Diceros bicornis minor: one gene and its partners. The protein of the gene in region 2 interacts with the protein of the main gene of each other region in a pairwise test. Links are inferred from orthologs where the notes say so. Each region holds a gene or a part of one and is shown on either strand. Other genes may lie near its edges.

Region 1 (7,220 bases), on a different chromosome or scaffold from region 2:
AAACCGAGGCAGAGAAGGATGTGATGGGTGCAGACACTTGCCCCTGTCGGTCTCGCCCCGCAGGCCCTGAGGGCCAGGCCCTGAGCCCGCCCCTCCTGCTGAGCTTTGCCCGCCAGGTGGCCGAGGGCATGAGCTACCTGGAGGAGCGGCGCATCGTGCACCGGGACCTGGCCGCCAGAAACGTGCTTGTGGGCGATGACCTGACCTGCAAGGTGGCCGACTTTGGCCTGGCTCGGCTGCTCAAGGTCGGTGCTGGCTGCTGACCCTGCAGGGTGGCAGAGCGGCTGGGGGGGGAGGGTGCCACTCCGTCTACCCCACCCTGGTCTCCCCTTGCCCAGGACGACATCTACTCCCCAAGCAGCGGCTCCAAGATCCCCGTCAAGTGGACGGCGCCCGAGGCGGCCAACTACCGCGTCTTTTCCCAGAAATCGGACGTCTGGTCCTTCGGAGTCCTGCTGTATGAGGTCTTTGCCTATGGCCAGTGTCCCTACGAAGGTGGGCCACGAGGCAGCCCCAGGGAGGAGGCACACCCTCCCCCGGGGGTCGCTGACCCTGGAAGGGAGGGCAAGAGGCCTCAAAGCTTGGCAGGGTCTGGCCAAGGGCTGGGGGTAGGTCTCCATGGTGACCCCCAGGCAGAAGCAAGGCAGCCCCTGTCCTCGGCCCCCTCCTCAGGCATGAGCAACCACGAGACGCTGCAGCAGATCATGCGAGGGTACCGCCTGCCGCGCCCGGCCGCCTGCCCCGCCGAGGTCTACCTGCTCATGCTGGAGTGCTGGAGGGGCAGCCCCGAGGAGCGGCCGGCCTTCGCCGTGCTGCAGGAGAAGCTGGGCGCCGTCTACAGGCGCCTCCACCCTGCCCTCACGTGACCCAGGCACTGGACGCTGGGCTGGGGTCACTCCTTCCCGCCAGGGCGTCCCCCCGGGATGATGTTTACCATCAACACGTACAGGGTGCCAGACGGCCCATCACCAGCCCGCAGAGCCTCTGGCTGTGGGCCTCACGCCCTGACACACACACTGACACACACACCTGTGTGCACAGGAGGCAGACACACGCAGACACCCACTCAGACAGGGGAGGGGCTGACGCCCTCTGCCCTAAGTGACCAGTGTCCCTGGCGAAGGATGAACTCAGCACAGAAGGCCAAGTGGAGCCCGAGTTTGCTCCGGCCTCAGGGAGAAGCCTTGAGCCTGGGCTGCGGTCCCCCTGCCCAGGCCTGCTGCCCTGGGCCTGCTCGACCCCCTCCCAGGGTCAAGAGCGAGGGGTGGGAATTCCCAATTTTCCCCAAAGTCCCCGCATGGCCTTGTGGAAGCAGTGGTGCCAGGGCTCCCAGGCAGACCGTGGGAACTGGCCCCACATGGCACATGCTGGGCGTACGCTGGGGCGTGGCCACTGCCTCCCACGGGCACACCGTTTCCCGTGTGTAGACCTGAGCACACGGGAAGGCAGCACTTAATAAATACGTATTGACTGACTCAGACGCAAGCAGACATGGCTCACACATGGGCCTCAGCCCCCTGAACCAGAACAGGAGCTGGAGCTGGTGGGGTGGGCCCCCAGTTGGTTTACCCTGGCAGAGGGAGAGCTAACCCCCGCGTGGCCCAGGCCCCCACCCCAGGGCATCTTGGCACCCAGAGCAGGTTGACCCAGAGGCAGCACTACCCCTGGGCCATGGGCAGGACTCAGGTGTCAACAGCCCTTTCCGTCTCCCTGGGGCTGGAGCAGAGAGATCGGGATGGGATTGAAGAGGTGGGGGACTGGGTCAGGCCACGGGAAGGTCAGTGGTGGCTGCGTGACCGTTTTTGGGGGTGTGTGACCCTTGAGGTCAGTTCTCTGGGGATGGGGCAAAGGTGAGAGAGGCAGAGTCTGCCTCGTGGTGCTGGTCCTGGTGTTGCCCTGGCTGTGCAGGGTCAGGCGGGGTGGAGGTGGATGCTGCTGGGTGAGGGCTACTGGGTGATAGCTGGCTCTCTGGGGAAAAGGAAGCAGCCCCGATGCATGGCCTTTGGGGTCTCCAGGGTGTGACTGCTCCCGCCGGGCTGAGGAGCCGGGTGGGACGTGTGCTGTTGGTTCTTGCTCAGCCTGCCTGGCTCCCGTCACCACCAGATGGACAATAGAGGGGCGGGGGGCAGGGCAGATGCGGTCTGTGTTTGTGGTCCCTGACCCCCACCCTCCTGGGAGCCCCACGCTGGCAGCTGTGCCCCAGAAGGCCTGTGGGGACTGAAGGGGCAGACCACGCAAGGCCGCCCTCAGCTCACTGTTCCCTGGAGGGAACGGCCGCTGTGTACGGTTTAGGGTCAGCTCTGGGCCCGCTGAGGCCAGTTAGCCCTTCACTGCTGACCCCAGGCCCTGCCCATGGGCTGGCACTGGAGGAAGCTGGGACCCTTGAGTGCAGATAAATGACCCTCCCTGGGGCCACTCAGATGCTCTGAGAACAGTAGGGACTTCCTGGAGGGGAGGGCGGTGGGGGCACCGCAGGTGGGGGCAGCACAGAGGGATGAGGTCACGTCAGGGCCCAGACCAGCCTGGCTGTGGCCCAGGGCCGAGTGGGGAGAGGGCAGGGGCCCCTTGGAGTCTTGGGTATCAGGCTGGGGCTGGTCCCGACCCAGACGGATGGTGGGGGCAAGAGGGTTTGACCTGAGCCCTTTGACCCCAGCAGCCTAGCCGAAGCTCTGCCTTGGCCTGCAGCCCTTGACCCCCTCCATCCTGTCCTGGGAGACCTGAGGGGCCAGCTCTGGCTCGTAGGCTGAGAAGGTGAGGGTTGGAGGTGAGCTCTTGGGTTCTGGGTGTTTCCTCAACACACGAGCAGCAGTGTGGGACCAAGGGGCTCAGCCACCAGATGGGCATGCCTCTGCTTCCCGAGCTGCAGTGCGAGCCAGGGGAGCTGGACGGGCGCCTCCAGGGAGGGAACGTGCTGGGCTTGGCAACCGGCCAGAGAGGTGGGTGTGTGTGGGGTCACTGCCTCATTCCTGGGGTGTCTCATCAGCCACAAGCTGAACAGGTTTAGTGCTCGGGGCCCCTGGGAGGGGCCGGGGACTTTCAGGCTTGAAACTCTCCTGCTTCCTGGTGCCATTCAGGCGGAACCTGGGCACGTCTGTGCCCCGCGACATGCCTTGGCCCCCTAGACATGGGGTCCCGGGCTGGCCCAAGGGCTGAGGGGACAGGAGCGTGTTGGTGAGCAGTGAGAGGCAGGTTGGGGGCACCTGGGAGCTCCCTGGGCCCCAACATAGGGCCCAGCCGTCCCTCTCGCCCCCTCTGATCTCTCCCCACACCCCCTCTGCTGCCCCTTCCCCACGTGGGGCAGAGCTGAGCTGGGCTGCCCATCGTCTATGAACTTGTTGAACGACACATGTTTGGGTCCGGAATCTTGGAGGGAGTGAGTGGTGCCACGGCTGTCTCTTCAGTCAAAGGGAAAGTGCCAGCACGTAGGGTTTAGTATGTGATTTTCCCCTGGTCACTTGTCCTCACGGTCCTCCTGGCATGGGGGCCGAGTCCCTACACCCCCTCTCTGCAGATCCCTGCCCTCCTGTCCTCGGGAGCCCGGCGCACAGGACAGCTCCCATGGAGCTGTTGGGTGGGCTCCGTGGGGGAGGGAGAGGTGCCCAGGACACAGGACAACCTTCGGGGGTGGGAAGAGAAGCAGCCCTCTGGGGGGCTTCTGGCAGTGACTCTGCTAGGAGCTTGCTGTCCGTCTGTCTGTCCGGATCAGTCCTGGCAGCCCTGGGAGGTGTGGGAAGGAATGACTCACCCCTGGGCCTCCGCCCCTCCCCTCACCCTTCAGCTCCAAGACTCACTCCCCTTGGGTTCCACTTACACCTGAGCGCCCATCTGTCTGACCAGTTGCCCTGCCCTCCCTTCCCCTGGGCTCAGGTCCGGCCATGTAGCCTGGGGCGCCTTAGTGGCTGGTTGGTGCACAGGTTTCCCATAGCAGATGTGCAAGAGTGGTACCCAGGCTGAGCTGGCCGCAGTGGGTAGGAGGACAGGTGGGGGCTGCCGGGGCCCTTAGGGTGGAGCCCAGGTGCCTGAGGAGGCCCGGGAGAGCCCGTCCCCAGTGGGCACGGGTGTGGCCAGCCTGACCTGGCAGCCTCATCACAGGGAAGTGGGCCAGCTCCTCAGCTGGGCGGAGATGGCCTGTCAGGGTTAGCACCGCCTGCCCGTCCTGCCAGCCAGCGTGCCGGCAGCCAGCAGAGTGACAGGTGGCGAGGCCAGGTGGCCAGGTCCTGCCGCTGCGCCGGCAATGGCGTCCCAGGGCCAGGTGCACCTGAACCCCGAGTACGTAGGCCTCTGGGACTTTGAGGCCCGGACAGACAAGGAGCTGAGCTTCAGGGCAGGTGACCTCTTCCACGTGGCCAGGAAGGAGGAAGAGTGGTGGTGGGCCATGCTGCTGGACGAGGCGGGCCTGGCCCTGGCCGAGGGCTACGTGCCCCACAACTACCTGGCCGAGAAGGAGACAGTGGAGTCTGAGCCGTAAGTGTCCCTGTGGGCCCTGTGGGTCACTCCAAGGTGCCCCCAATCCCTAGGCCCTGCGGCTCTGCGAGAGCTCCAGGCAGGGCGGCGGTCGGACAGAGCTCCGTGCCAGGTGGTCTCGGGGGAGGGGCAAGCGTGCTGGGCCGGCCCCTGGGAGGCCGGTGAGGGTGGCGACCCGTGGCTCTGTCTCCCTGTGTTCCCCAGTCAGGACTGGACCCCACCGTCCCGGTCCTGGGAGCACTAACTGGGCTTTCACCAAGTGTCATCTGGGGATGGGGGCATGTGGCCCCTCCCCTGGGCTCCCCACAGTCACTTCGTGGTGCCAGGACCCAGAGAGGACAGAAGGGTCCGCAGTGGGCTTCCGGGTGGCTGGCCGACAGTGATGAGGTCTGCGCGGGGGACTGACACAGGAGCATTGGGCCTTTTGGGGAGTGAAGCTTCACTCACCTTCCAAACAACTGAAACCAGATGTGTGACTCAGAGGGAGCGCTCCAGAAGGTCGTTGCGACATGCTCGTCCAGGGCGTGTGCTGAGGCATCTGCTCCCTGTGCCCTCGCAGCTGCCCTGTCACTGGCAAGGTGGCTCCCAGAGGCGGTGGCCAGCTCTGAGGGGCTGCCTAGGAAGCTTAGACCACAAGGCGCAGCCTGGTGAGGGCGTGTCCACGGCGCCCTGAGGTGGTTCTTCCGAGCTCTGGGCGGGGTGGGTCCAGGAGGGACTCCTGTTTCCTGCCTGCACTCCCGTGATCGTGGTGGCTCACCAGCACCCACGTGGACTGAGCACCAGGCTGTGCCGGGAGAGCACGAGAGCATGTGTGGGTTACTCCCACCGCAGGGAGATAAGCAGCAAACAATCACAGTCATAAAGAGGACAGTTTCAGAAGGCGGGGTCCCATGACAGGGATACTGCAGGGTGGGCACGGCTGGTGAAGGCCCCTGAGGCCCTGAGAGCCCAGCGCATTTGAGAAGCAGGAAGGAGGCAGGGGGGTTGGAGGGGTGAGCAAATGGGAGAGACTGGACAAGTGCTGGATCGGTCAGGGGCAGAGTGTGGACTCCCAAGGTGCTCTCACGGGGCAGTAGCCTTCTGTGCAGGTGCCCAAGTTCCAAAGGTGCCTGAGGGAGTCGAGGTACCAACAGCAGAGCAGCCGGCAGCAGGGGTTATGTGCGGAGCTCTGAAGGCCCCACCCTGCAGTCCAGAGTCAAGGGCTCATCCATGCCCTGGTTCTGGGAGCTGGTGTGTGCAAATACGTGTGAGTGTGTGGGTGCATGCATGTGTGTGTGTGCATGCGTGTGAATGTGTGGGTGCATGCGTGTGTGGGGTGCATGTGTGTATGTGTGGGTGCATGCGTGTGTGAGGTGCATGCGTGTGAACATGTGGGTGCATGCATGTGAATATGTGGGTGCATGCGTGTGTGCGAACGTGTGGGTACATGTGTGTGTGCATGCGTGTGAACATGTGGGTGCATGGATATGGGCATGCGTGTTAACGTGGGTGCATGCATGTGAATGTGTGAGTGCATTGTGTGGGGTACATGCGTGTGAACACGTGGGTGCATGTGTCTGCATGCATGTGAATGTGTGGGTGCAGGCGTGTGTGTGTGGGTGCATGCATGTGAACGTGTGGGTGCATGTGTGTGAACACGTGGGTGCATGTGTGTGTGCATGCTTGCAAACGTGTGGGTGCATGCATGTGAATGTGTGGGTGCCTGTGTGTGTGTATGCATGCATGTGAACATGTGGGTGCACATGTCTGTGTGGGGTGCATGCGTGTGAATGTGTGGATGCATGAGTGTGTGTGGGGTGCATGTGTGTGAACATGTGGGTGCATGCGTGTGTGAATGTGTGAACGTGTGTGTGCATGAGTGTGTGTGGGTGCACGCGTGTGAACGTGTGAGTGTATGTGTGTGAACATGTGGGTACATGTGTGTGAACGTGTGGGTGCATGTGTGCGTGTGTGGGTGCATGCATGTGAACGTGTGGGTGCGTGTGTGAACACGTGGGTGCATGTGTGTGCATGCTTGCGAACATGTGGGCACAGGCGTGTGTGGGGTGCATGTGTGTGAACGTGCAGTTGCATGTGTGTGTGGTGCATGCGTGTGAACATGTGGGTGCATGCATGTGAACATGTGGGAACATCTGTGTGCATGCGTGTGAACATGTGGGTGCATGTGTGTGAACACGTGGGTGCATGATTGTGAACGTGTGGGTGCATGCGTGTGAACACGTGGGTGCATGTGTGTGAATGTGTGGGTGCATGTGTGTGTGGATGCATGCATGTGAACGTGTGGGTGCATGTGTGTGTGTGGTGCATGCGTGTGAACACGTGGGTGCATGCATGTTAACGTGGGTGCATGCGTGTGAACGTGTGGGTGGGGTGCATGCGTGTGAACATGTGGGTGTATGTGTGTGAACACGTGGGTGCATGATTGTGAATGTGTGGGTGCATGCATGTGTGTGGGGTGCATGTGTGTGAACGTGTGGGTGCATGTGTGTGTGGTGCATGTGTATGAACATGTGGGTGCATGTGTGTGAGTGCAAGGGCATGTGTGCATTGCCTTTCTGCCTAGATGCCCAACCCAAGGTCCTTGGAGCTGGAGCCCAGTGTCTGTGGCCCGGGTCACAGGAAGTGGTCCCAGAATCACAGAAGGATGTAGTCCCACAGGATGGGATGGCACGTGTCTGGGACGGGAGACATCTGGGCAGGGTGGTGGGAGCCTGCTTCACCTCTTCCTGGTCACGAGGGCCTTTCCTGGTGTCCAT
Region 2 (7,377 bases):
AGAAACATAAAAACAGTGCGTCCTACATAATGGGCTCTGCCAGGCTTTTCAGTAGATGAAAATAAGTCAGTCAATATTTCGGTCCTTTGTTATACTCTGTCCTAGGCACCAAGGCATTAGAAAGCTTAGTAAATATTAGCACTTTAAGGCTCCATTATCATTACATAAATGATTGGGCTGCCATAACTTTACTAACCTGTGGTTCTTATTGTGAGTAGGTTCTACTGAATCCTTGGAGTAAGTAGTCAGGGTAGTGAGGTATCTCTAAAGTTGACGAGAACTCTGAAATAGAAACTGTGTGTTTTATTTAATAATACAGTTGGGTATTTTTTATTACTGTGCAAAGATAAGCCTGATTAAATGCCGTTTATCCTGGCTTTTCTTCTAAGGGTTTGTGAAAGTATTGAATACACAGTATGTGCATTAACTACAGGACATACTCTACAGTGCATTCCTTATTCCCCCTTCAAAACCAAATTTTGTTGGTGCAAAATTTTCCATAATATCCCGTTATTAAAATAATAGTGCAGTAAATGGAACATCATTAAAAAAACTTTGAGGACTAGAATTCATGTTAAAATGAGATAAATCTTTATTAACATATACAAATCAATTCAGTGTAGATTTTGGTTAAGTTATTTATACTATTATAAGAAGAGGTGGGCTTACCAGTAGTTATAATTTATTCATGTATAGGCACATAATAATCTCTATTCAACAATCATGTATAGAAGGCTCTTAATTTGTTTACATTTTTTGATGTTTATAAAATGTTTGCATTAATAAAGCGTCTCTGAGAATATCCACTAAATAATTATGGTACCTATAAAATATTTACATGTGTAATAAACGGAGAACACACAATGACATAGAGTCATCTATTGAAAACACATGGATCTGAGGCTGGCTAAGTGTATGTGTAGGGCACTTGGAGAGATTGGCTTTATTCAGCCATATCCTGTTTGGAAATAGACAATATTTTGTGAGTCAATTCTGAAGCATATTGATTATTAAGGGTCAATGTAGCTTATATATTTTTATTTTATAATATCCACCATGTGCTAAATATACAAAGTATCCTAAAGGTTAAGTTAGTATTCATTTTCTTTTAATTTTTTAAAGCTACATAAATACACTTTTTTCTTTAGAATGCATTTTAGGCATTTACTGAGAGTTTACCTGAGAATATAAAATTATAACTACTTTTTGATAATAACTAGGAAAAGTAAAAGTTAACTAGCTTTCCATAATTATAATGACCTGGATATCCAGAGACATATAATAAAGTCAGCCCTTGGACAGCTCTCTGTGGTACCTTCTTAGTGTACTTTAATCACGGAAAAGGATTGTGAATGAGTAATGTGATTTCTGTTGCTGGACATGACAAAAGTTACTGCTTCTTTTTGATTCATGAAACTGGGTTTGTGCATGTCCTCATCAGCACCACATGCTTTTAATCTCTGGGCGTGCTGCAAAGCAAAATGTGATTGCAATTATTGTGCAATAATTTTTCTAATTTATATTCGTTCCAAACATTTACAGTTTACTAGCTGTAGTTTGCATCTTATCCAGCCTCCCGCTATAGCGGCTCCTGACCATCTCTCTGAAGACTGGTAGCATGTTTCCCCTCATATCTCTGTTGCAAACCAGATGCCAAATGCCTGACCCTTCAACTGCTAACCATCCTGCCCACACTCAACTAAAATAGCAAGCACTCTTTGCACTTATCCTCAATTCTAAATTATAACGTCTTTGAAAGTAAGATAAGAGCCAGAAGAGATTGTTTGAGAAGCACTCCAGAGTGATGACAATCCTTTATGGTCCCATTAACACAGGGAATGAAATTCAACTTATTTTCCACCCACCAATCCTTAGGCAGTTTGTCCCCATCCATCCCTACCCTTATTTCTCCCGTTTCTTCCAGATCACTGCAGTCACATTGACCCCAGTCAGTTCCAGGAATAGGCCAAGCTCTTTCTGGTCAAATGGCTTCTGCATGGGCAAATTCACCTCCCTGGAATGCCTTTCTCTGTTCATTTTACGCAGACAGTGCCTTCTTTCCCATCAGGTTTTGCTTTAAATGCCAACTCCTTAGCAAGCCTGCATGTCTATCCTGGCAAAAAAATGGGTTCCCTTGTATTCTCTTTCTTAACTCCTTGCTTGGTTCCCTCCTGGTCTTTTTTGCAGTCAGCAACTACCAGTTCTCTGGTGTATTTTGTTTTGTCTTTCCCCATTAGAAAATCATCTCTATGATGATGGAATGAATGTGTGTATCTCATTCACCAATGTTTCTCCAACTTCTAGCACAGTCTCTAGGCTCTTTTCAATATTCACTAAACATTATTGAATGCATATATGTATAAATAAATTAACTATTTAATATACAAAAAGGTAGGCTAAAGCAGTACAATCTGGAGCTAAATGGTACTAAATAGACTTGAATTTTAATCTCAATTTTAGCATTAACTAGCTATGAGATTTAAAAAAGAATTTTATTTTCTTGTGATGAGAATTTTTAAGATCTACTCTGTTAGCAACTTTTAAATATACAATAGAGTATTATTAACTATAGTCACCAGGCTGTACATTACATCCCCAGGATTATTTTATAACTGGAAGTTTGTATCTTTTGACACCCTTCACCCATTTTGCCCACACCTCTGTCACGAGATACTTTTATAGGCCTAGAGTAACAACACTACAGAGAACACAGATCATTTTAAAGTGTTAGATTTTTACATGGAAAAGCTGATTAAGAAAAAAATGCCTTAAGAAATGTGATTTTCTTTCCTATTGTCAAAAACCAATATTATCAGTGAGTCATGGTTCTCACCGCTTATTTCAAGAACTTTTAACAGTCCTATCAGAATTGTTAGCCACATATCCCCTCACCTTTGGCCCCACGGTGGCATATGCTCAGCTCCCGGATGGCATGAACATGGCTGATGCCAAACGATGTCATATTTGTCACTTCCAGGTCACTGAACTTCTCTGCCTCTGTCTTAGTTTCCACACCTATAAAACAGAGAAAGCAATACTTGCACCATGTTTTCTGGAGTGCTTCTATGAGGAAAAATCGGGATAATGGATGTGAAGGCACATTAAATTAAAAGATAATTTCCCAACCTTATTTTGAAAAACAAATAAGGAAAAGATTTGAATACAGTAAGACAACTTGGAAAAGTTTTAGCACGCTTTATTTGTAGGAAAGTTAGCCCCCCATTCTTCCACACCAAAAATGGTGGGGAAGAGGTGAACTGGAAGATGATCGTTTATGAAAAGAGACTATGGAAGATTGTTTTGTGACATTTGGAGCAGCCAAGCTGCATTTCCAGGCCCCATCCGTAAGAGAAGGACGGGCACTGTCTCCAGCGTCGGTGATAGCTGGAGGGTTTAGCTCTCCTTTAAATAGAGGTGGGATAGGTGCCAAGTAGCGCAGTAACGGCACCCGGTGAAAGGGACTGTCACATCTGAAACAAGGAGAAAGGGGAAATTAGGGCAACCGTGGTTACCTATTGTCTAGTCTCTTCCTTCTTCCACATGCCTTCCCAATTCCTTCACAAACTGTGGCTAATTGATTATGTTGCTTTCCAGTTTTAAAATTCAGTCCCCTCCCGGAAGCCCACCCATAGATGGGGATTGGGGGAGGAGGGATGGATGGAGGGAAACCAGAACTCAGTCGATACCCCAATGATTGTACACTGGAAGCGCGTTGCCGTACAACAATATCGCCCCGGAGCCGCTTTATTTGTTTATCAATGAACATCTTACTGCGTCCCCGAGATGTAGGTCAGGCTCGTTGGAAACACCAGCCGCCGACCACACGCAGTCTTCATTATATTTCCAGACCCGGTGCGCTGCTGATTCCTGCACACTGGAGTGCGTCTGAGCTGCAGGGAGGAGAGGAGACACCTGTGCCTTTGGGACGCCGGTGAAGTCTAGTCTACCTGCCTGAGACTTTCCCTAGTGCTTTCCCATCCCCTCAGCTGCTCACTCCTCATCCCCATCCCCCTGACACCTTGAAGCCGATCGTCCCTGTTTAATGGGTGCTTTTCCCGCTCTCTCCCCGCTCCGCACCTCCGCTGAAGACACAGAGGGCTCCACACAACTGGGCATGCCTAATAACCAGAGAAGGCTTGGGCTGCAAGAAGAAAGCATTTGCACCTTCTGCGCTCCCCTCCCCTCTGCAGCTGCCTCCTGCCAGTCAGGCGATCCGACGTGAGGCGCGGCCCAATGAGGGCCCGCGGCCTGCGCGGGGGCCCCGCCTCCCCTGGCAGCACCACCAATGAGCGGTTGGCGAGGGTGGGACGCGCGCCGTCCCCGCCTCTCCAGTTAAGGCCGCTGGTGTGAGCCCCGGCTCGGCGCGAGCGAGGGACGACGGAACGGACGGGCAGGTGTGGGCGCGGGGCCGCGCGGCCGGCCGGCGGGAGTGGCGGTCGCCCGGTGCGTGGGCCAGTGAGGGCGCGCGGAGAGCCCCCGGCCGCGGCGGAGGCGGAGCGGCGCGGCAGCCAGGCGCTGCCCGCGACCCTGCGTCCGAGCGAGCGGACCCTGCGCTTCGCCCGGGGACGGTCCGAAGTCCGCGCTATGGAAGAGGAGAAATATTTGCCTGAGCTGATGGCAGAGAAAGATAGCCTGGATCCATCTTTTGTGCATGCCTCGCGCCTTTTGGCGGAAGGTAGGACTGGCCCCCACGGATGGGCACGAACGGCCGGCCGCCCGCTCCCCCGCGGCTGGGTTAGGGGAGTGAAGTTGGGGAGGGACGCCTGTCTCCTTCTTCGCGGGAACTGTCCCCCTGAACATGCTCGCTTCAGAGCCCGGGCGGACAGAGCCCGTGCTGGGCGCGGGCGGCGATGCTCCTTCTCCTCTACGTCTCAATTTGGGGAAGACCAGAGCTACGAGGTCTGATGGCAGTGGTGATGTGACCTGTTAGGATCGCTGATAGAGAAACCATCAAGTGTAACGCGGTCTACGGGAATATTTTCACTTCGCAGAGGGGAGGGAAGTCTGTTTGGAAGTAAATAATGGTCAAATTCTAAGACCTTCTTAGCTACAAATCAGCAATTTTATTTTGCTGCATTTGGGAAGTGATTTTGATATCCTTTAGTCTCATTACAGTCTTTCCTATGGAAAGTCTGAGAATAACCTAGGTTAAACTATGCGTGTTCGGCTGTGTCAGTGTGGCAGAGGCTAAAGTGCTTATCAATTTATTTGAAGTGTGGTGATTGGGTACTCTGCAAGATACCGGTCCCTGGGAACACTCCACAATTGATCAACTGTTTTACCAAGTGTGCATTTTCTTTTGTGTACCTGTAATGCTCAAGAAGATTTTATTCCCAGAGGAACGTATATATCTTGTCTTCTGCGTAGCTTTGAAAGGTTGTTTAAACACACATACACACACAAACTTCTGTATGATAGAAATATTAACCAAATTACTCCTTTTATCTTGAAATAATACCGTCTACCTGCTAAAGATATATCTTTAGTAAGCTACACATGCCTTTTTAAAAACAACTCCAGATCTCTTTTGATGAATGCATCATTAATAATGAATCGCTTCATCATCAGACAGACTATAGTGCAGTTTTGTAGCATAGGTTGTTATGGACTCAACTACAGCAAAACTCAAAGTGACAACTTCAGCCCTTCAGAAATGTTTTTTGAGACTTAGTTATACATGGAAGGAAAAATTCTAATCCTCTGTGTATGGTTCAAATAGGCATTAGGTTTATTTAAATATTTTAACGATAGATTATTACGTATGGCAACAATAAAGTGTAACGTGTTTTTTCATTTTTACATACTAAGCAATTAAGAAAAGATTTATAATCAAAATATTGAATGTGTGAAACTACTAAACTGTTTTTCAAGGAACAAGTTGGTTTTGTAGAGGATCTGGGAAGGTAAAATGCAATTATGTTTACTACTTTCTTGGTTACTGAATGAAAAAACCAGAAATTAAAGTTCAACAGTAAAGTCAATTAAAAAAATTAAACCCTCCCTCTACTTTATTAAAAAATAAAGATAACTACATAAAAATAATAAGAATATTGAAAACTAATGAGTTAATAAATGCTTAAGATTGTTCAGAATGATTAAAAATGCAATTAAGCCTGCTCAAATTCTTCACTTCAATATATTTTCCAGAAGTGTCTTCATTTAGCAGATAATGTCTTTAAAATGAAAAAAATGTTACAAATCGATTATTTTCTCTAACCTGCTAATTGGAGTTCTCTTTGGGACAGCAGGCTCAATGATTAATTCATCAGTCATTAATGAGAGTTAGTGTACTTTTGAAAACTGCCAAACTAAAGAAACTCTTAATAGAGTCATGAGTATTTCTGCAGCTGCTAAAACAGTCAGAGAAGGCTATGCACTGGTTCCTTAACATTTTATCTTTTCCAGGAACTTGATTTCTTGATACTGAGGAACAAGTTCCGACGTTCCTTGTAATTTAGTTTTTTCCCAGTAGGGGGAAGCATGTCCTGCTTTTGTAAGGAATTAGCAGGAATAAGCTCCTAAATGGAGAGAAAAGCATCTAAGTAAGAAACAAAGAGATGTCCAAATTTCAGAGAAATCATAATCAGGAAAAGAGAATGGAGAAGGTGATGATGATAATCTTGGAGTATATAAGGAGATATGCAAAAAGATGTATAGGGTTTAAATTAATGCTCTAATTGTTCCTGAGGCTCTTTAAATGTGCTCATTAAAGAGTACAAGGTGAGTGTCCTTTGGACTCTCTAATAAATCTTCATGTACATTTTACGTTATAGATCGTTCCTTATCTTATCAAAGGCCGTTTGCGAAGATTTCCAGGTTTTGTTTCAGATTCTCTATAGGAGAGTATTGTTGAGATTTCTCATACCTGGAAATGCACTGATTGAAGACAGTGGCTATAAATAAACCTGACATAGATATTCATTTGGAAAGAAAGTGCACACTGAAGTGCATTTTAGTCAGTGCTGTGCAGACAATCTCAAGACCGAGTGAGTAATAAAAGTGATCCAGATGAGTCAGTTCTTCAGAATGATTTTCCGGAAGCTAATATATATAAGGGCAGTGATGTAAACCAATGAGCTTTCACAATGATTTATTTTGCTTTTTTGATTGGTGATAGATGCAAATCTGTGCTCAATTGCAACTACTACTTCATTTAGAAATGAAGGCCATGGGGTTAAATGTACTAGTTTTTTGGTTGTTTTGTTATTTTGTTGTAGTTTGTTTTATTTCACTAGTTTCTGCTGTGTTTTCAGTAGGAATGAGTCTGAGAAAGCTAATGGAAGAGGCCAAACCTTTTATGTATTCTACTGTTACTTAGAAAAGATCTTGAATAAGATCTTGAATAATATGGTTTGAAGAGTGTTTATAATATATTTG
Region 3 (7,578 bases), on a different chromosome or scaffold from region 2:
TTATCAAATTAGACAGGAAAGCATTGTGTTTATTATGCAGTGACACTACAACTGTGCTAGAAGAATACACTATAACAGAGTAAGCACTCATCACAATATTCCCAACTGCAAAAAAGCAGTGGCTAGAAAAATTGGAAAATTTAAAACATTATCTCATCACAACACAACTTATTAAAAAAAAAATTAAAAAAATGAAAATGAGGGCCGGCCCCGTGGCTTAGTGGTTAAGTGCGCGCGCTCCGCTGCTGGCGGCCCGGGTTCGGATCCCGGGATCGCACCGACGCGCCGCTTCTCCGGCCACGCTGAGGCCGCGTCCCACATACAGCAACTAGAAGGATGTGCAGCTATGACAGACAACTATCTACTGGGGCATTGGGGGAAAAATAAATAAATAAAATCTTTAAAAAAAAAAAAAATGAAAATGAGACTGCAACCAAAGTAAGTTTCCAATTGACTCATTTATTAACCATGCAAGGAAAGACATTTATTAATGGTGAGTTAATTAAATTATGTTTGATTATAGCAGCAGATGAAATATGTTCAGAGAAAATAAAGTAGTTTAAGACTATTAGCCTTTTGGTGACAGTGGTTGCTTGAAGAGTTGAAGACATTGGGAGCAACATTAATAATCAGTTTAAAAGCAAGGCAAATGAGGGGGCTGGCCTGGTGGTGCAGTGGTTAAGTTCATGCCCTCTGTTAAGTTCACAGGTTCAGATCCCGGGTGCAGACCAACGTACTGCTTGTCAAGCCATGCTGTGGTGGTGTGCTATATAAAGTAGAGGAAGATGGGCATGGATGTTAGCCCAGGGCCAATCTTCCTCAACAAAAAGAGGAGGATTGGCAATGGACGTTAGCTCAGGGCTAATCTTCCTCACACATACACACAAAAAAACAAGGCGAATGATTTCTAGTGGTTTTCCTTGGGTTTTGATAAGTTGACAGATGTTATCAATATAGCTCAGTTGTTTATTTGACAAGTCAATGCTGAGTTTGAAGTGAATGAAGAATTAGCTTCTTTGAATAGTTCGTGTGGAAAACTATGGACAAAAATATTTTCAAAGAAAATGAGGAAACTAATTTAGTACAACCTGAAGTGGAATCTGCTAAGATGTTACAGCTATTGGTGGTAAAAATATGTGTGGAGCAGAAAAAAGTTTTTCGGACAAATTTACAAAGCTTGTGAAAATGTAGAGTGTTTAAAGCCTATGCCAATTTATTGTAATATTCACAGAAGGTACTTTGTGGAAAATATTTAAATCTATCATGTGTTATCAAGCCAATTGTGTCAAAGGTGAATTTCATTAGCTCATCTGGACTTAACCATTGTCTATTTTGTGAACTTTTGTCAAAAATAGAAGCTGAATATCTTGACTTGCCCTACCAACCACATAGCAGTTCCAAGGCTTAACAGTAATAAGTCATCTGTGACTTTTTGAGCTCGGGTCAAGATTGAAATTTTTCTTAACAAGAACAGCCCTCAACCACTATTATTGAATACTTAATGGCTTTGGAAATTAGCTTTGCTGCAGACTTCGTAATGTTTCTTAATAGATTCAACCAGAATTACAAAGCAAAACAGTGGTTATATGCAGAACACTGTGGCAAAGTTATCTTGATGGAAATTAATGTTTAAATCACAAGTAATGTCAAGCTGTTTTTAAAACTTCCTGTGCTGTCAAAAATTAAAACCAAAAGTGAGATCTCCATTCCTTCACAAATTCTCAGGGAATGTATTTTTCAGGCTCAAATCACAGTTCCAGCAATGTTTTTCAAACTTCAAAACAAATGCAGAAGAAATTTTTAAATTTCAAAACCTATTTAACTGTGCAATTGAAGAGCTTCCATCTAACCTTCAATTGGAATTGATTAATTTGCAATATAATGATGTGCTAAAAGGCAAACATCAAGAGAAGATTTAATAGAACTCTGTAAATTCCTTCAGAGCAATGAAGATGCTTAATAAAATCTTATGTTCGTGGATTAATATCAGTATTTGGCAGTACCTTCCTCTGAGAGTTTTAGCCAACTGTGAAAGTTAGCCAACCACAAAGTTTAGAGGGTACACAGCCCACAGAAGACTATTCTCAGTTCTGACACCAATTGCAGGTTTGATGGGTTCCCAAAACCACTTTTGGGGTCAATAATTCACTAGAAAGACTCACAGAACTCAGTGAAAGCTGTTATGCTCAGATACCATTTGTTATCGGGAAAGGATACAGATTTAATCCAGCCAAGGGAAGAAGTGCATGGAGCACAGTCCAGGAAGTACCAAACATTTCCATTGTCTCCTCCACAAGGAGTCAGGATGCGTTACTTGCCCAGCATCAATGTGTGACAATATGTGTGGAGTATTGCCAACCAGGAAAGCTCACCCAAACCTTGATGTCTAGAGTTTTTATTGGGGCTCCATCACATAGGTATGGTTGATTGATTGGCCAAATGGTTGATCTCAACCTCCAGGTCAACTGATACCGTGTAGTCCAAAGCCCCCACCTATATCACATTGCTGATCTTTCTAGCGTGGTCAGCCACCAACCTAAATAATATTTTTAGACTGTCCAGTGTGACCCAAGTTCCCTAGGCAAACTGTGACATTCCAAGGGCCTAGAGATCACCTCCCAGTAGCTGAGGACAAATATCAGACCTCTTTTTGGGCAAGGTTAATTCTTCACTACATACCACCTGTGGGAAAAGAAATTTTCAAAGACAAAGCATATAAACTTTCATTATGGATCAGCATGAACAGATGAACATCTGCAACCAATCTGATGAAAGGGAACACTAACTCTGAACTCCAATGAAGTGAAATGTGATCTCCCCCCAAAATTTATTTTTCTCATTACTAAACCTATATCACAAAATTATTAATTATTAATGTCAAATTTATTTATTTATTAATATCAATTATTAATGTCAAATTTTGAATTTTATCAATAAAAATTGTGGAAATTTGTTTTCTCTCCTGTTATATAAATACCTACACAGTATCCTGATTTTGCCTATTGGCCTGCAAAGACTGAAATATTTACTATCTGACCCTTTACAGAAAAAGTTCACCAACCTCTGACGTTTAGTTCAGTTTGTAATACAGCTGTGATGGTTAGTTTTATGAGTCAACTTGACAAAACTATAGACCCTAATTATTCAGTCAAACACCAATCCAGGTGTTGCTGTGGAAGTATTTTGTAGATGTAATTAACATCTACAATCAGTTGACATTAAGTGAAGGAGATTATCCTCAATAATCTGAATGGGCCTGATCCAATTAGTTGGATTGCCTTAACTGAGCTTTCTTTGAAAAAGAAGAAATTTAGTCTGTGGATAGCAGCTCCTGTCTGAGAGTTTCCAGCCTGTGCTTCCTGATGGCCTGCCCTACAGATTTTGGACTTGCCTAGCCAGCCCCATATTCACATAAGCCAATTTCTTGCAATAAATCTCTCTCTATATGTACACATCCTACTGGTTCTGTTTCTCTGGAGGAATCCTGACTTATTCAACTGCTCACTATAAAAGATACTACCCAATTTATGCTGCTAGAAAACTGAAAAGAAAATAACTTTAAATAAAATGAAATTAATATTTTGCCATAGCTGCCTGTTGGCTGTGATATTGCCTAATCTATCTTATTGACTCCCTAGTGTAAGGCAGAAAGGGGTAGTGAGAGTTATGAATAAAGAAAGAAAATTCAGGAAGACTTTGTCGGTCTTATCACTGTGGATCACAGAGACATTTTTGTTTCTTGATAGAATCTGTTTCTAGAGCAAAAATGAGATCTTTCCAAGAAATGTCTCCGGTAGCCTAACTCTAGGCCTCTTTTCGTGGAGTCCACTGTTGCTGGCTGTTAGAGCACGCCTACGTCCTGGCATTGTCGGTAAATCCTATGCTTGTGTATTTTCAGAGGAGAGATTCCTGAGCTTTTGTCAGATTTTCAAATGGGTCTGTGGCACCAAAAGGATAAAAACCACAAATGACCTCCCCTTCAAGTGGATATTTAACTCTCCTGTGTCACCTACTGCAGACATTATCTCCTCTAATCTTCAGAGTAACTCTTATGTGTCACCTGCTGCAGGCATTGTCTTCTCTAATCCTCACAATAATCATATGAAGTAGGTACTAGTATCCCATTTTACAGATGAGTAAACTGAAGCTTAGAAGAGACATTTGTCCTCGTTGCACAGCTGATAAGCAACAGAGCCTGGATTTGAACCTACACCTGACACCAAAGCTCGTGCTGGGAGGGTGAGGAGGGAGGGAGGATTCTGCTCAACCACTAGGCTCAGCTATCGGGGAACTTGCTGCACTTGTGGTGGCGGCATGGGTCGTCCCAAGTACCTGCTTGGCCTCTGCCCACCCGCCTGGGGAGGAGACAAGTTGGGGGTGTCTTCTAAGCTTTGCGGGGGCTTTCTGGCCTTCTAACCACTTCTAATGTGCCCCTGCCCAAAGGGAGGGAAGAGGAGGAGCGGGGCGCCCAGGAGAGGGGAGGGCGGGCCCTGAGATGGAGTTTGTTTGAAAAGAGGAAGGAAGTGGGGCCCGGCAGAGCGCCTAGCCACCCCCTGGCTGCTTCCCCACAGGACTACGCGAGGCGCCCGCAGGCCCCCGGCTCAGCTATGGGCCCCTGGCGCAAAACTGACAAGGAGCGGCACGGAGTGGGTAGGTGCGGGCATGGGGTCTGCAGCAGGGAAAGGGCAGGTGGCCGGAGAACCGCACGCAGGCAGATGCTGCGGAAGCCGGAGGCGCGGGCGCGGGCAGGGAGCGCTGACTCAAGGTCCGAGGGCGCCGTGGCTCCCTCAGCCTGCTGCGAGGCCAGCTGGGCGGGGAAGAGGATGCAGCGGGAGAGGAAGGTGGGCACTCCGCCCAGCAGGCTGCGCCCAGCCCGCGCCCTCTCGCGCCCACCGCGGGCCGCCTTTTCTCCCCAACGCTTATGCATTTCCTAGATGGGGTCTAGCCGAGCGCTTGGCATCCTGGCTCTGTGCACCAGGCTCCCAGCGTTCCAGGGAGTGGACTCCATCGCCCCATCTGGAGACTTGTCCTCATAGAGGGAGCACCGCTCTCTCCCCTGGCCTGGCCTTGCTTGGCCCAGCATGCCTCCCTCCACCCCTGTCCAAAGCGGCACTCCTCTGCCTGCTTCCCCTGCCTGTTCCTCCTGGGTCAGATGACGCCTGATTTGGCAGAGCATCCAGAGGGCTGTGCAGGCTTGGGGGGTGGGTCTGGGTGGCGGGATCCTTCACTCAGCCCCCAGAGATCTTCTGGAGAGAAAGGATCCTGCCAGGTTATCTGAGGATGTCTAAGAAGTAAGCCTCTTAGCTTCAGCCATCTACACTCCCAGAGGCCTCTGCCTGAGCTCAGGGGCGGAAGTGGTGGCTGGGGGAAGGGAGGCTTCAGGTACTGGAACTCTTTCTACTAAGTGGCGTCCGTGGTGCAATCCCCGTAGACTCACTGTGGTTTTCAAACTTAAGTGTGAACTTTAAAACCACTGTATGGCTTGCTACACAGGCAGATACCAGACACCACCCCCAGAAATGAGGATTGAGCAGGTCAGAGGTTGGAGGATCCAGGCACCAAGAGTGATTAGATGCAGGGGGTCCCAAGGCCACTGATGGAGAAACACTGCCCTGGAGAGCTCAACTTTTATCCATTCGCTTACTGGGCTCTAGGCACTATAGAGTGTTTTAAGGTGAATTGTCCCCATCCAGAGAACGAATAACTATTCACACCCTCAAGGGGGCTCAAGTTCTTCATCTATAAAATGGGAAATTTGAACTAGACTCAATAAGGACCCTTTTTAGCTTCAAAGCTTCTTTAACTCTGGTTCTTCCAGCTGGAGGTATCAGGCTGAAACTCTTCTCTAGGGAAGATGGGGACTGTTAAATGAGACAGGCCATTGTAGGTGGAGGGACCCATGTGGTCCAGGAGATGAAAGCTGAACGTGAAGGGCATATCCAGGAAAGAAGAGCAGTAGCTCCTTTTGCCTTGAGGGGAGGGTGCATTGAAGAGAATGATCATGCTCAAAGTAAGTTGGAACCACATTTTGGAAGGGTATGAATGCCCGGCTAAGAAATTGAGACTTTTTCCACTTACGCAGTGGGGAGCAATAGAGGGCTTTTGAGCAGGGGAGGGGCATGAGCAGATTTGTGCTGAAGCTAGTGTAGACGGAGGCTGGGTGGACAGAAGAGCAAAGGTACCTGGGTGGTAGACAAAGGACAGTTTTGGTGGTTCAGGGCAGTTAATGGGGGAGATTGACGTGTGGTGGAAGAGTCCGCCCACCGCCCCAAGGGCTGCAGTGCATTTCAGCTGTGTAGGCCCTGTGCTGTGGTGTGAGGACCATGGACTCTGGTGCTAGACTGCTTGTTCCTGGATTTCAGCTTCCCACACTTCCCAGCCCTGTGACCTAGACAGTTACTTACTTTGTCCAGGCCTCAGTTTCCTTGTCTGTATAATGGGGATAATAACAGCACCTGCTTCCCAGGCATGTGGCAGGACTTCATGAGTTAATCCACATAAAGTGCCTAGAATGACAATTGTACAAAATAATCCTCACTAAATATTATCAATTATTATTTTTAGACTTTGTCCTCCTTGGGGTCCAGTTGAGGACATGACATCACAGGATGGAATGCGGCTACAGGATGGAATAGGGTTCTCACCCTCCCTAGCAGGGGAAATCCCACCTCTGTGCTCAGGGACTGGGAACTCTATTAGGCTTCAGGCCCGGAACCTTCTTGATCTGATGGTATAGCTGACATTTTTCACGCCTACTTATGAAAATTCTATTTTATGAGGGATCAGAAGGTCTATGACCCTCTTGGGAGCCAGAGAGCACTTGGTAGGTGCCTGCTCATCAAAGGGATCTCTTTCTCTGCAGATGAATGTCAGAACTAAGGAAGGTAACCTCCCGCCCTCATCTGCAGGCTCTGGGCAGATGGAAAGGAAAGGCTTAGGTTATGATGAGACACGGGACTAGATTATCCAACAGAAGGAACAGTGGCTTGAGAATAAGGAGTCTGGGTTCTAGTTCTGACACCATCACCATTTGCAGGCAGATCTGTGCTCTAGTTTTCTCACTGTAAGTCTAGGTATTAATACTTTTCTATTTCAAAGCATTCTTTTATGAAGAGCATTTGAGATAATGAGTGTGGGTGCCTGGAAGAAGATAAAGAGGTAGAGCCATGTGAGGGATTGGCGGGTTCTTGGAATATCTCTGGAGTCTCAGCCAGGCCTAGCACAAGGAGAACCTGAGCTTTGCTTCCCATTTGGTTTCTTCCTGAGCGTGGGTGGCATTTAGCCATCGTTCCTCTGGCCTAATTGACGAGGGCTGCTGGTGTCTGTTGCTGGGGGGCTGGCTTCATCACCAGAACCACTTGACTTCTCGCTCCTCTTGCTGTCTGGTGGGCAGCCAGGGTGACCCTCATGTAGATCCCTGGCCAGGTTATTTTTCCTTCCTTGATGGACCGTTAACGTGTGGTCCATTAGAGTTCCAGAGAGAACCTTCACGTAGAAGTGGGGTAGGAGTTTCCACGGACAAGACAGTGTGGCTATGAAGTAAGAAAGGGCACAGCCTCTGCCCTTGAGGAGATATGT
Region 4 (7,134 bases), about 26 Mb from region 2:
TCCATAATAGACAGGTTGACTTAGGGAAAGGTTAGCAAAAGGACTGCAGGCCCTGGGTCTCCCCCATGGCCTCCCACAGCTCCCTCTAAGGGGCACATACCTTTCCCCGCAGTGATGGCTTCACAGGCTCTCAGCAACTGCTCTGGCCCCAGGGCCCGAGTCCATCCTCTCCCCCGCCTCCGACTCTTCTTCAACACTGAGATCAGAGAGCACAAAAAGGTTAGCACTCCATCTCTCCCACCACCCTTAGGCCCAAGATCAGGAACCCCCTTGTCAACAAGCCTCTCTGTGCTCCCTTTTGTCCCCTGCCACCCGCCTCTCCCATGCTGCCCTCCTCATTGCCCACTCACCGCTACTAGGGTCCTGTGGGGTGCGGGGGTCCCGAGGGAAAGATGTGAAAAGGACGATGTGGAGCTGGGGATAGTGTTGGTGGAAATAATGCTTCCAGGCAACCACGAGAGGCGGCGGGGCCAGATCCACCTTGTTGAGGACCAGCACCAGTGCCAGGCCAAGTTCTCCAGTCACGTACTCATAAAGTGCTGGTGGGAAATTCACAACCTGGGAGAGGGGTGGTCACGGGATGGAGCAATGAGAGGTCAACCCAGAGTTGACATACGCATGTGAGCAAATGCAGACCGTTGTATGCACATGAAAATAGACATTAATTTCTACCCCAACTCCCATCCCTGTGCCTGCTTCCAGCCTTTACCCCAATGTGCTAGGTGTCGCTATTTCCTTATCTTGTTTTCAGCTCATTTCCATCCCTAACCAGGACCCATAGGAAGCCCCTCAGAGACAAATGCAGAGGTGTTACTTACCCCTGCTTTGTCTTTCTAGTTTAGTTTGGCTCATTTACCTTTTTTGCCCCAGAATCTGCTCCCACCAGGGTCTTGTCTCTGAGCTGTGCCTGGTGAGTGGGGAACTGGAGGCAGAGTATATGTGTACGAGTGTGTGTGTACATGTCATTAACGACCTCCAACCTACATGTCCCCACAGACCTCCCTTTCTCCCACTGGAGGACAATGGTGAAGTGGCAGAGAGGATTCACACAAGGGATGCCCAGCAGCAGAGTCTAGAGCCTGAACCACTACCCTAGCATTCCAGGCGAGGCTGAGTCCCATGGCAACTGATGCGGCAAGAGAGGCGGAAGCCCCCAGCTGCCTTCGTAGAAGCTCCTGGAGCTCCACATGGGGACTTTCTATTGGTCTAGTTCCCAGCGGACTGAGAAACAGAATATGCAGTTTTTCATCAAGGGAAGTAAAGGAGAGGAGAGTCAGTTGGCCAGGGGAGGAGTGACAGTCTGTCATACTGATGAATAAGGGACTGAGCTCCTGACTGCGGACAGCAGCATGGGGGAGAGGAGACTGGAAAGGAAAGAGGACACCTCTCTGTCTCCCAACTCCTGCTCCGCCCTTTACCCCACATGGGAGGAGGGAATCTTCCTCCCTCCTCCCATGTCCGCCTTCCCCCCAGCACTCACTGGATGTCGGATGTCGGTGATGAGAAGGATGATGTCAGACATCTCTAACACTCGCCACAGCTGCCGCCATGTCTGCAAAGACAGGTCAGTAGAAGAGACCCTGAGCCCAGAGTCCCTCCCCGCCTGATCCCAGACCAATCTGAGCATCGGTCACTCCGCCCCACTCCTGTCCTCACTCCATTTTCACCTCCAGATTGTGCTCAAAGTAGCTGAGTTTCTCAGAGGTGTAAGCCCCATGAATCTTCCCAAGATACTCCTGGAAGCTCCGTTCCTCCTGGCTCATCAGTTGCTCCTTGGACATCTCATAGCTCCAGGGAGGACGTCGGGGAAAGTCCAGGACTGGAAAGTCAAGAAAAAGTCCAAGTCAGTACGAGGACAGTTTCAGGACTCAAGGGTGCATCCCAGTCCCCTCCTTCCTGACCGTCAGCTCTTCCGAGCTCCTTCCCTCAGCCCACTGCCTGCCCCAAACACCCGGATGTCCGGCTCTCCCTCACCTGAACCGGGCTGATAGACCTCCCGGATGTCCAGCTCTAGCACCTCAGCGCTGACCGGCTGCAGCACTTGCTCCCGGGCTGCTCTCTTCCTCCTCTCCACCTCCTCCCGGCTGTCTCGCTCAAAATGCAGCCGATATCTAACGGGAGAGATGCCACGGCATCCATCACAGTCCTGTGACCACAAAGTCCCGTCTTCTCTCCCCTTGGGCAGACAACTTCGCAAAGCTTGCTCTCCAGACTTGTTCAAATCTCCTCTCGGAGTCGGCCCTCCCCCAAGTCCCTCTTTCATGGAATATTCGCCCTTCCCCTAAGCCTCGCTCTTCTAAAAGCCAAACTCTCTCCAGCCCCTCCGGAAGGGAAGACGGTGGCCTGCTCCGGTGAGCCCGGCGGCCCGCGGAGACTCGTGGCATCCCAGCCCCGCCACCTCCAGTTTCCAGCCTCCACCAACAGCAGCCGGCTTTCCCCCAGCCGGCTGACTTCCGGGTGGGCGGGGAGGCCCAGGCCAGCGCCCCCCGCCCTTTCTCACCGATTCGGGGCATAGCCTCGCGGGCCCAGCCCCTGGGAAGGCTGCTGGTTGAGCCTGCGGATGTGATGGGTCACAGACTCCCCGTCTGAGGTGTCTGTCTGCTCCTCCCGCCGCTCCCGGCTCCCGCTGCGGCTGTTGGAACTGGATCGCAGCCCATCTTGAAGCCCTGCGGGGAGGAGCCGGTGACGCCAGGGCTGGCAGGCTCGCAGGGGCCATAAGACCCTCTCTTCGGCCGGCCTGGCTCCCCCTCACCCCACCCTACTTCTTTTGAGGCCCGGTCCTCCCAGCCACGGTGCCCAGGACCCTCCCGGATGTGCGTGGGGGGAGTCACTCCTCCTCCAGGGAGCTGCGGGGATGGCGCCCCGTTCGAGCTGGAGGGATTCCCCTCCCCCAACTCTCCATCCTTCCCCACTCCTTCCAGATTTAGGGGGCTGGGATGAAGGAATCCCGTCCGCGGTCGCCCGCGCGCCTCGGCGCGCGACCACCACCCCCTCCCACGCCCCCTAGAGGTGCGGCAGGCACACCCCTCCTTCCAGATGTGCGGGAGCCGGAGCCCCGCCCCCTCGTCTCCCTCCCGCACTGACCTCGCTTCCGCTCCCGCTTGTCCTGCAACTGTTTCTTCTTCTGCTTCACGCTGAAGGGCTTCTTTCTCGGCATGGCCCGGACCAGTCACCTGGCCCGCCCTCCGCCGAGCTCCCGCCGCCTCAACTGACTCCCCCCCCGGGGCAGCCCCCGCCGCAAGGGCCCGGGACCCTTGAGGGGGCGGGGCTCTGAGGTGACGTCAGCGGGCGGGCCCGGCCAATTCGCCCCGGCGGCTGGGGTGGAAGGCGGACGAGGGGAAATACAGTCACTTCCCTCTGCGAGCGAGGCGAGAGGATGATGCGGGGTGGGCTACCCGCACGTGAGAGCCAGTAGTACCGAGAGGGCGCAGCGGCGGCGAGGAAGGAGGCGCGCGTGGGAGGATCGGACAACTTCGTCACGGACGCTACCAACTCGCGTTCGGAGGAGGGGGGACGCGTGTCATCACTACCTTTCGCGCCGGCGAGAAGCTACCACTCACCTGGAGGGGAGCGGCGGAGCGGGGGGCGGGTCCTACCACCTGGGGCAGAGAGGGGCGTGGACACGCAGAAGCTGTTTTACCAACCCCCGGGTGTGACCTTAGTGGAAAGCCGAGACTGCGCGTCCCGGGACTGAAGCCAAGTTTCTGGGCTACACTGGGGGCAGGGTCAGAGGTCTTGAGGGGCGGGTGGTGGTCTGAAAAGTCGTGAGCGCCGCCCTGCTGGGACCCAAATTCCTTGTGGGAACGATGATAAGGAACAGGTTTACAGATTATAAGGGCAAGCGCGGGAGAGGAGGGACATCCAGGTAGGACAAGGACTTTTGGAGGGAGGTCAGAGGGCACGAAGTTGTGCCTGCAGCGGTTACCACAGTAACCGGGTACCGGATGTGGCGATCTTAGGATGCGACATCCCTCTCTTCTCAGGCCTTCTGGGCCGAGAGCCTGTCGACTCTATGGCACACTGTGAGGAGACGGTTGTGGGATTTTTTCAGCGAGGGGAGAAGAGAGGAATTTTTTTTCTAAGCTTTTATACAAACGCAGCAAAGGGACGGTCTGAGATTGCCGCCATGCCTGGCAGAGACCGAGGAAGGCAGTTGGTGTGAGAACGCCACCGCACAAAGGACCCCGCAGCCTTCCGGAAGTGAAATGGCGGGAGCCTCAGCCTCACTGTCCACCGCCCCCCCGGAAGCGGAAACAGAATCCCAGCGTGCCCCTTCCTCACTGCCCTCCAAATCCCGCTGCAGCCATTGCCGCAACCACGATGCCGAAACGAAAGAAGCAGAATCAGCAGCAGCAGCAGCCGCCGCAGCAGCAGCCCCCACTGCCAGAGCGGGAAGATACTGGAGATGAGGAGGATGGGAGTCCCATTGGTGAGGAGCCCGGGAGGGGTGTGCACATGCCTGTCAGCCGGTCAGGGCGAGGAGTTAGGGGCTGAAAAGGTGCGGGGGAGGGGGCTCTAACGAAAGGAGGAAGGGCGCACCCGCTGGGGCAGAGAGGGGACTGTCCGGGATGGAGCCCTGAAGGAGGAGTTCTCTTACTTGAACCCTCAACTTCAATCTGGCTCCTAAAGCTTAATAAACAAGGTAGGGGAGAAGGTAAAGAGCTCGTGTGCGCAGCCGCAGAGTGGCAGGGGAGAGGAGTGGTAGAGGTTGCAGGTTGCGACAACTGGGATGACAGTTTGTGATCAGACTTTCACAGGGAAGGTGGAAGTGCAGCCTTCTCTAAAACTACTCCGGGTCAGGGCGGGGGACCGGGGTGTGCGTGGGCTTGGGGAGCTATCTGATTGGCCAGCAGTTAAAGAGAGAAATTGGATTACCTCTGGTATCACTGAGATGGTCTGGATAGCAACAATGTAAAGAAAAGGGAAAGTTGTAGGTAACCTTCCAGCTTTATCCCCCTTGACTGAGTCTCCACTTTTGGCAAACCCTGAAAACGCTTTGCAGAGGAAAGGGCAGATAGATGGGGTGAGAACTCTTAACACTGCTAAGAATATACCTTTACTGGTTGGATTAAGAAATGACTAATAGAAGAAAAACATAATAAGAATAGGATCATCAGTCCTTTAGTCCATTCTGATGACCATATTTTCATGTCTACTCTTAGGACCACCCAGCCTTCTGGGCCCTCCCCCCATGGCCAATGGAAAGCCTGGTGACCCCAAGTCAGGTGAGGAGGAGGGGGCCCCCTAATCCTTTGATTAGCTCCTGGAAAAGGGAGGGAGTGAAACCTAGAAAGAATATATCCTTTAAAATAAAAATATCAGGGCTTTTTGTACCTAAATAAATGGAGACATGTTGTATACTCACAGTTTGGAAAACTCAATGTCGTAAAAATGTCCATTTTTCCCAAATTCATCTATAGAATCAATGCATTCGCAGTTAGAATCCCTATAATGTTTTTGTAGAAATAGACATTCTACATTATAATATGGACATGGAAATGCAAAGGATCAGCCTGAGAGAATGCAAAGACAGTCTTGAAGTGAGAGGGCTTACTCTGAATATCAAGACAACGTAAAGCTATAGTAGTTATGACAGTGTGATAATGGACATTTAAGTCACTAGGATAGCAAAAAGAGTCCAGTAAAAGGCCCACACATATGTGGACACTTAATTTATGATGAAGATGAAACTGAAATAGTGGTCTTTTCAGTAAATGATGCTGGATTAATTGGACATTCATGTGGGGGAAAAAATGAAATTTGACCTCCTATTCATACCATATACAAACATCAATTCCAAGTGGCTTATAGATCTAAGTGTAAAAGGTGAAGAAATAATTCTAGAAAATTAATTTATTTCGTGGTCTTAGAGTAGATAAGAGTCCTTAGACAAGAAATACAGACACACTAACTACAAAGGAAAGATTGGTAAACTGAACTACATTAGAAAATAAAAACTTCTGTTAATCTGATGACACCATTAAGAAATTAATAGGAAGCCATAGAGTAGCAGATACTTGCGACAAATATAACCAATAAAGAGCTCATATCCAGAGTATATAAAGAACTCTTCTAGACAACCTGTTAGAAAAATGGGCGAAAGACTGGAACAGCCACCTCATAAAAACTGAAATCTAAACGGCTAAAAACATGTGAACAAGAATTCAACATCATTAGTCATTAAATAAATGCAAGATAAAAACACACCACTTTGAAATTGAAACTCTTGTGCACTGTTGGTGGGATTGTAAAATGGTACAACCACTGTGGAAAACAGTATGGAGATTCCTCAAAGAATTAAAAATAGAACTACCGTATGATCCAGCAATCCCACTTCTGGCTATATATCCAAAAGAATGGAAAGCAGGATCTTGAAGAGATATTTGCATACCCATGTTCATAGCAGCATTATTCACAATAGCCAAGAGATGGAAGCAACCCAGATGTCCATTGATAGATGAATGGATACACAAAATGTGGTATATTCATACAATAGAATATTATTCATCCCCCAAAGGGAAGAAAATCCTGTCACATGCTATAGCATAGATGAGGCCATTATGCTAAAGGAAATAAGCCAGTTACAAAAAGACAAATACTATATGATTCCACTTATATGAGGTATCTGAAGTAGTTAAATTCATAGAAACAAAGTAGAATGGTGTTTGCCAAGGGCTGGATGGAGGGAGAAAAGGAGAGTTATTTAGTAGCTATAAAGTTTCAGTTTTGCAAGATGAACAAGTTCTGGAGATCTGTTTCACAACAATGTGAATTAACACTACTGAGATATACACTTAAAAATAATTAAGATGGAAAATTTTTTGCTACATGTTTTACCACAATTTTAAAAAAACACCACTTTTCACCCTCATCAGAATGGGAAAAATGAAAAAGATTGACAATACCAAGTGTGGTCAAGACTGTGTAACAGCTGCTGATGGGAGTGTAAATTGGTACAACCACTTTGAAAAAAAGAGTTTGACTTTATGAAACTCGAGCATACATATGCTCTAGGACCCAACAATACCTCTGCTATGTATATACTCAACAGAAGTGCATACATATGTGTAACAAAGACATGTATCAAAATGTTCATGGCAGCGTTTTTCGTTATAGCCCCAAACTGGACTCCAC

Evidence for each region.
Region 1: the proteins of KHDRBS2 (region 2) and PTK6 interact in binary tests that used the Homo sapiens proteins (3 or more experiments, as listed by UniProt). The two-hybrid records come from large-scale screens. The link is inferred for Diceros bicornis minor from reciprocal best matches to the Homo sapiens genes KHDRBS2 and PTK6.
Region 3: the proteins of KHDRBS2 (region 2) and DOCK2 interact in binary tests that used the Homo sapiens proteins (3 or more experiments, as listed by UniProt). The two-hybrid records come from large-scale screens. The link is inferred for Diceros bicornis minor from reciprocal best matches to the Homo sapiens genes KHDRBS2 and DOCK2.
Region 4: the proteins of KHDRBS2 (region 2) and PRR3 interact in binary tests that used the Homo sapiens proteins (3 or more experiments, as listed by UniProt). The two-hybrid records come from large-scale screens. The link is inferred for Diceros bicornis minor from reciprocal best matches to the Homo sapiens genes KHDRBS2 and PRR3.

The regions. Positions count from the first base shown.
Region 1 is NC_080758.1:663,877-671,096, forward strand, and holds the start of PTK6 (protein-tyrosine kinase 6), read left to right. Parts: upstream 1-4,207; 5' UTR 4,208-4,234; coding exon 4,235-4,464; intron 4,465-7,220. Other genes in the region: tyrosine-protein kinase Srms, read left to right, coding at 64-245, 339-495, 673-866. UniProt on the Homo sapiens protein: Non-receptor tyrosine-protein kinase implicated in the regulation of a variety of signaling pathways that control the differentiation and maintenance of normal epithelia, as well as tumor growth.
Region 2 is NC_080753.1:8,698,523-8,705,899, forward strand, and holds the start of KHDRBS2 (KH domain-containing, RNA-binding, signal transduction-associated protein 2), read left to right. Parts: upstream 1-4,377; 5' UTR 4,378-4,584; coding exon 4,585-4,675; intron 4,676-7,377. UniProt on the Homo sapiens protein: RNA-binding protein that plays a role in the regulation of alternative splicing and influences mRNA splice site selection and exon inclusion. Binds both poly(A) and poly(U) homopolymers. Phosphorylation by PTK6 inhibits its RNA-binding ability.
Region 3 is NC_080740.1:83,897,453-83,905,030, forward strand, and holds the start of DOCK2 (dedicator of cytokinesis protein 2), read left to right. Parts: upstream 1-4,561; 5' UTR 4,562-4,607; coding exon 4,608-4,650; intron 4,651-7,578. UniProt on the Homo sapiens protein: Involved in cytoskeletal rearrangements required for lymphocyte migration in response of chemokines. Activates RAC1 and RAC2, but not CDC42, by functioning as a guanine nucleotide exchange factor (GEF), which exchanges bound GDP for free GTP.
Region 4 is NC_080753.1:34,524,013-34,531,146, reverse strand, and holds the start of PRR3 (proline-rich protein 3), read left to right. Parts: upstream 1-4,126; 5' UTR 4,127-4,320; coding exon 4,321-4,429; intron 4,430-5,162; coding exon 5,163-5,225; intron 5,226-7,116; coding exon 7,117-7,134. Other genes in the region: GNL1 (guanine nucleotide-binding protein-like 1), read right to left, coding at 101-196, 351-558, 1,481-1,552, 1,668-1,819, 1,975-2,111, 2,501-2,666, 3,085-3,157.